2 linked regions of the Danio rerio genome follow. The protein of the gene in region 1 purifies or fractionates together with the protein of each later gene. This does not show direct contact. Links are inferred from orthologs where the notes say so. Each region holds a gene or a part of one and is shown in the gene's direction. Other genes may lie near its edges.

What was found. Proteins that work in one complex are often made in the same cells at the same time.
Region 2: the proteins of rtel1 (region 1) and slx4 purify together in Homo sapiens (affinity purification with mass spectrometry; 3 studies listed by BioGRID, with this or other methods). This does not show direct contact. The link is inferred for Danio rerio from reciprocal best matches to the Homo sapiens genes RTEL1 and SLX4.

Annotation. Positions count from the first base shown.
Region 1 is NC_133186.1:13,308,533-13,312,105, forward strand, and holds part of rtel1 (regulator of telomere elongation helicase 1), read left to right. Parts: exon of another isoform or gene 1-632; intron 633-827; exon of another isoform or gene 828-1,277; coding exon of another isoform or gene 1,278-1,299; coding exon 1,300-1,432; intron 1,433-1,521; coding exon 1,522-1,635; intron 1,636-3,573. UniProt on the Homo sapiens protein: A probable ATP-dependent DNA helicase implicated in telomere-length regulation, DNA repair and the maintenance of genomic stability. Acts as an anti-recombinase to counteract toxic recombination and limit crossover during meiosis.
Region 2 is NC_133197.1:27,520,671-27,524,243, forward strand, and holds part of slx4 (structure-specific endonuclease subunit SLX4), read left to right. Parts: intron 1-780; coding exon 781-1,013; intron 1,014-1,575; coding exon 1,576-1,868; intron 1,869-3,573. UniProt on the Homo sapiens protein: Regulatory subunit that interacts with and increases the activity of different structure-specific endonucleases.

The DNA of each region.
Region 1 (3,573 bases):
CGCAACTTCCATTAAGTGTCTGCTTTACGTTGCTGTGTCAGAATCCTTGCTTGTAAAATACAGACATACTTTAGAACGCTTAGTTTAAGTAAATTTGGTGAACGCGATCATGCTTGTTAATGAGTCTGAAGGGATCCCTCGCTCTCCGGGTCCGCTGTACTGCGCGCGTTGTCTGTTCAGCAAGCGCTGAAATGGAAAGACTTCCGCACATCGCGGTCATGCTGCTTTAACTGAAGCTTTTGGTTTGGGACATACAGAAAGCGACTCGCGTCCATCTGCTGCAAAAAGCTGTTTTTGGAGGAGACAAGCAGACATCACTGTGCATCACTGTGTTTGCCTTGGCTCAGTCCAGCGCGTGTCACCAAGGTACGAAACGTGACACACACACATACACGAACGAACAAACGTTATGAAAACGATAGTTTGTTGTATAGTTGGTGGTTCACTTCCGTGATTTGGTACAATTGCATTCACATCAAAAGTACCAGAACCGTACCAGAGTTCACATGAACCGTACCCCAGACCACCTCTTTCAGGCGGACTCGGGTACGGTTCACGGGTGCGCACCCGAGCTCAGAAGACACGTTCACACTAGCTAAACCGTACCGTACTATGACGTCAAACGAAATCGGGTGCAGACCAAAAGTGCTAGTGTGAAAGTACCCTTAGAATCCAACATGGAAATAATTTTTGTTTGTTTGTTTGTTATTAGCATAACACCGGGTTTCATGATTAATCATAAATACTTAGGAAAAAAAATGTGATTAATTACGTAAATTTTTTTAATCATTTGACAGCCCTAATATATATATATATATTTCTACAAGTGAAGCATGAGCACACATTGCTTTGCATCTTACAAACACAACCAAGCCTTAAAAATACACTCTGGACCACCTCTTTTAAGTATTCAGGCACAAGAAATTGCAATTGGATTTATTTAATTCAATTTTATACACAATGAAGACTATACATTGTTATTTTAGATTTGATTATTACATATCCAAACCTGAATACTGTTATATCCTTACTCTTGTATTTATCTATGCTTGTAATTTCTTTGTAATACTTTATGCATCATTCACTCTCCTACAAATCATTCCAATCAGTCTAAATGAGTGAATTATTTCCAAATAGATCTGTTCAAGCTATTCATATTCCAAACCAATATACATATTTTCCAATATCATGCAACCCTTCCTTGAATGCATAGGAATAACGAATTTTTAAAATTTTGCACATTAAACATGTATACCGAAGCTGTATAAAAGATTTAAATGGCATGTGTATGTTTTCAAGGGAACGTGCTGAGCTACTGGTGTTTTTCTCCGGGCTTCAGCATGCAGGAGTTGCTCCGTCAGGAAGTTCGCTGCATTATTCTGACCAGCGGAACCCTCTCGCCGCTCTCATCCTTCACCTGTGAAATGCAAATGTCCGTGCTCCTCTTCTCCAGCTGTCCCCACTCAGCTTTTATGAGTTGCATGTGGACTGGATGCTAATTCTCTGCTCGTTTTTTTCCAGTCCTTTCCCTGTATCCCTGGAGAACCCTCATGTCATCCAGCGTGATCAGATCTTCGTCAGTATCATTGAAAAAGGTCCAGATGGAGTTCAGCTGAGCACGGCTTTTGACAGGAGGTCAGTGTTTTCCTAAAAGTGCTCTGGGTTACGCATTTGAAAGAAAGTTCTTATGTTATTCAGCAAGAATGCATTAATGGATCGAAAATAACGGTAAACATATGGAGCTAATAATATGCCAAAACAATCTAAATTTGAATTTCTTAATTAGAATTTATTAATTTTAATGTCCTATTTTGAATTTGAATTTCATAACTTCAATATTAAACATCTGAAATGTAAGATTACTGAAATTTTCGGGACTTTTTTATAGGCGTATTTTAAAATTTCAGATTTTTTTGTGTTCTGAACTCACATACTGCAGATATCCAGTTTGTAAAAATACATTTTGAAATCAGGAAATGGGTAATAATAAATGTTTTTATCTACATATAGCCTAATGTAAAATTGAACTCCTATGTATCTTAGCTTTAAGTATAGAGGGAAGGCTGCTTTCTGTTTCAGGTCACATAAAACCAACATTATGGGCTCTATTTTGACGGTCCATGCGCAAAGCGCAGGGCGCAAACGCTTTCAGGGCATGTCAGAATCCATTTATGCTATTTTAAGGACGGAAAAATCCGCTTTGCGCCGTGGCGCATGGTCTAAATGGGTTGAGTTTATTTTCTTAATGATTTATAGGTGTGTTTTGAGATTAAACCAATCAGAGTCTCATCTCCCATTCCCTTTAAGAGTCAGTTGCATCGCGCCACAGCACATTTGCTATTTAAATGATGTAAAGTAAGTGTAAGTGGAAAAACTGAGCATTTTACTAGCAAGAAAACAGTTAAACAGAGCATGTACAGCACGAGAATGAGAGATAAATGATTAACGGTTACTTTCGCTCTCGTGGATAGGGAAACCTTTACGCACAGACATCAGTTAGCCTATAAATAATTAATTTAGTTTGTTAAGTCCAAATATTTGTTTCAAAACTATTTCTAAATTCAGTTCCAATTTCCAGCAAACGAATAAATGAACAATAATAACAAAGTGTGGTCAAAAATCTGAGTTATATCCTAGTACACATGCTATGCCCCACATGGTCTAAAACCTGCAGGTGGACAAATCTAAGCTTGTTTTTAATAAACCATATAAATATGGAAATAATAAATAAAACTGCTAATAATAATAATAACATTATACAAAAGCAAATTGAATGAACTGAAAAAGCCTCCCGAGATGAAGGCATGAATGCAGTGGTTTTTATATATAAAAAAAAAAAAAAAAAAAAAAAAAAAATATATATATATATATATATATATATATATATATATATATATATATATATATATATATATATATATAAATATATGTATGTATGTATATATATATGTGTGTGTGTGTGTATATATATATATATATATATATATATATATATATATATATATATATATATATATATATATATATATATATATATATATATATATATATCCTTAATATTTTAATTCTTTTTCATATGTAAAGATATTTGCGTATTGCTCTACATCTCGTGTGTATTAGGCAGTGTGTAAGCGAGGCACAACTCTGCACTGGACTTTAGACCGGGTTTGTTTTGGTCTATTAAAAAATCTATTATAGTTTATCAAAATAGCAAAACGTCCGCTGTGTAACACATATGCTGAATATGTTGGCGACCTCTAATTAATAGAGGAACTAAGCTGAAAAGAAAATTAATCAATGAAAATGTTTTCGACACTGTTTGAATGTCTAAAAGCATGTCTAATTAATTGAAATCAGGAAATGTCTACAATTTAGAAATTACAATTACATATTTGCAATCTGATAACACACCATCAACTTTTATTCTTTTATTCTTGTTTTCATCTCAAACATCAAAGCACCCTACCCGCTTGTTAAGTGATGACGTGTTTGTGACGCATGTAATACTGTTTCCGGGTCCAAGCCGCCATTCACTTAAGTGGAGAAATCATTCGTTTATGATCACTTTTTATT
Region 2 (3,573 bases), on another chromosome or scaffold:
ATTAAGATTTACACGGTAAATAAATTATCTTTAAGTGAGTGGATGTATGATTTGTTAGGATAGAATTTAGGTTAGGTTAGAGTTTGAATTATTTTGGTTAAGTTGTTTAAGACATGTAAAAGAGTGTTAGAGAGAGAGGGTGTTTGTCCTTTTGTGAGCTGCATTTCTACCAGTGTTGTTAGCAATATTGTCTGAATTGATGGAATTGTGAATGTTGAAAAGAACAGAGAGCTTTTAAGCCATTATGTCTTTTTTTCTGGAAAAGGCTTCAGTAGTAATAGTTTTCATTTCCAGCATAATTCATATTTGGAGAAAGAAAACAGCAGATGAAACACAGTCATGAAACGGCCTCCACAGGGTCCAGACCTGAATGTTAAAGAGGCTGAATGAGATCACCTGGAGAGAAAAGATAAAGACATTCTAAACGTAAAGAAGAACTCTGGAAAGTGCTAAAAGAAGCCTGATATTACACAACACATGTCAGAAAATGTCAGGACAATTAAAACAAAACAGTTCAAGCCGTGCTTTGTGCTATTGGCAGCCACATTAAATATTGACCTTTGCTGGAAGCGGAAAAGTTGTGCTGTTGTTTATTATGTATTTCCTAAATTTTCTGTTAGTTTTTAATTAAAAGAGATGGATTGATTATATATTGTGCAAAAGTCTTAGGTCAAAAGGCTTAGGACTTTTGCACAGTACTGTATATAGGTGTTTGTCAATTTCTAAATATGTAAAATAAAAATTGGACTTTACCAACTTATAAATTCAATCTTTCTTCAGGCAACAAGTGGGTGGTGCTGTAAGGAGGGATGGTGTGCCTGTGAAAAAGAAGAGCAGGAGGAAAGGGCAGAAGTTGGATGAGGACACCATGATGGCGCTGGCTCTGTCCCGCTCTCTGCTGGAGCAGGAGGTGGAGAAAAAGCGAGAGCTGGAGGAGCAGAGGGAAATTCTGGCTCAGATCTCCAGCCCTCCTGCAGCCACAGCTCCTGTCCTAAAGTGGAAACCTGGAGCAGGTCAACTCAGCTCTTCATGTCAATTTCCACAAATTCCTGTGATCATTCATTCATTCATTCATCAACCCACGTGAACACAGGGAGAACATGCAAACTCGATGTTTTAGAATTTTAGATTTTAGAATGACCAAAGATTTTTGATTTTAGAATGACCAAAACAGCAATTCAGATGTTTTACATTGTGGTTGATTCACTGTTTTTTTCATTAACATTGTCCCATCGCACCTATTTTTGTCATCACATTATCTGTTAATACAAAATCACATTTCTGAAATTCTGACTTTTCTGAAACACATGCTGGAATTTTTTCAGTAAGTGTTTTTCCAAGTTTTTTATCTAACAATAGCTTGACTCAGTTGTGTACATTTATTTTTGTCATTTTCAAAATGAATGGGCATCTTGTTGTTTCCATAAAGTATTTTTATGCAATAATCCCAAATGGACCTAAAAATAGGTGACTGAATGAAGGCTGAAAGTGCAAACGATCCTCAAAACACAAGCTTCCTGAAACCATATTTGTACTGTACATTAAACACAGCATATCATTCCTGTTTTCATTCAGGTAAGGGTCGTGGAAAGAGAAGGAAGGGAGCGTCTCCTGTCCAGCCGCCGTTGCTCCTCATTCAGGACCCTCAGATTGCACTGAACCGCCTACAGGAGCGGGTTTCATCTCTCCTGCTCTGCTCCAGACCACCTTCTCCTCCAACACCCACCCTGAGCCCCTCCAGCCTCCCTCTTCAACCTCACGCACCCCTCTGGGACAAAAGCGCTCTTCACAGAGGACGACAAAACTCTGTTTCAGAGTTCTACACGTCTGAGTTGAGCAGCTTCATACAGCCATGGGTCGCACCAGTGGTGAGAAAAAATGTTCATAAAGATCAAAAATTGTAAATATAGTTTAATCAATATGTAGTTAATGCAAAAATGGGGTTTTATTAAAAAATATACAAATGTCAGGAATAGGGTTGTAACGGTATGAATTTTTTACGGTATGATAATCGTCTTAAACAATACCACGGTTTGACGGTTTCGCGGTATACGGTATGTTACAAATGTTACAAAATAATAGAACAGTGAAGCAAATTTGACTTTTTCCAAATAATATATATTTTAGTTACTATAAACAACACCGCTTACAAAGAACAAATAAAAAAATAAGAAAATAATAAATAATGTGTCAAAGTCCAAATAAATATGGTGCAAATCCTCAGTAAAAATAGATATAAATATTTACTATCCTATAAATAGTTACATAACGAAACTAGATTCAATATGGAACATCTTTAGGTTTTATGTGCCAGCATGGATATGGTTGTCTGTGGATATGGATTTGGATATGGTTGTCTGCAATGCAGACAAACAGCTGCACCTTCATGCGTCTTTTGAAAACAGCAAGAGCAGCAGTTCGTCTTTGCTGTGTCACTGTTTTGTCATGTTTCTGTGCTGCTGTGCATGCAAAAGTACTTAGTATGAGAATTATTTCATGCAAAACTTTTTTTTTTTTGCGTTTTATCTCTCATTCCGTGTTGTTCAAAAAGCTCAGTGTTGGTCCACAAACAAAAGCGAAACCTACGCTTATTGGTTGTGATATAGCGAGTTTGAACCAATCTGGGCATGGAGGAGGGACAATGCATCAATGTATCATGTCTGATTTGTCCGGAGACACAGTGACGAGCGTTTCTTTGTCAAATCAGCGTTGTCAAATTTTCATGACGTAACCGCACTGATTCCGGAGCCTCTGAAAGTCCGCGAATGTTATGTGATACAGCACTGGAAAGCACTGCACTGGATTCTCTTCTTCATGCCAATCTTTGAATTGTATGAATCGGATCAGCGGATCAAAAGTTATTAAACATTTAAGAGCAATACTTATTTTTAGCCACGGGCGGCTGTCTCGGTCTTTAAGGGTTAAAACCGTTGATATGCAATTGTTCATGGTATGATAATCGTGCACGTTCAAATCGTGGTAAACCGTCATACCGGTATATTGTTACAACCCTAGTCAGGAATATAATATAATATAATATAATATAATATAATATAATATAATAATATATTATATTATATTATATTATATAATGATATAATGTAATATAATGATATAATGTAATATACATTTTGTTTATGGTAATGTCTTTTAAAGTTTAACTGCATGACTTTAAATACAGTGGTCCCTCGTTAATTGCAGGAGTTATGTTCCTAAAATAACCCACCATAGGCGAAATTTGCGAAGTAGTCAGCTTTACTTTTTATAATTATTCTAGATGTTTTAAGGCTGAAAAACTCCTCACTATACACTTTATGCACTTTTCTCAGACAGGCATGAACATTTTCACACTTTTCTCTATTTTAAACACTCAAAGTTCAAACTTTCATAAAAAAAAGAATCCAGTGTTATAGAATGAAATCAAAGATCAAAACCATTTGATCTTCATTTATTTATTCTGTAATGGTGCCCTACAGCCGTGTAACTTCTACCTTCCTTTGGCATGTCCAGAAGTTCAACTTTTTGTGTGATGGTAAGCGTCTTTCTCTGTGTTTTGGGTGCTGCTGCGGGTGC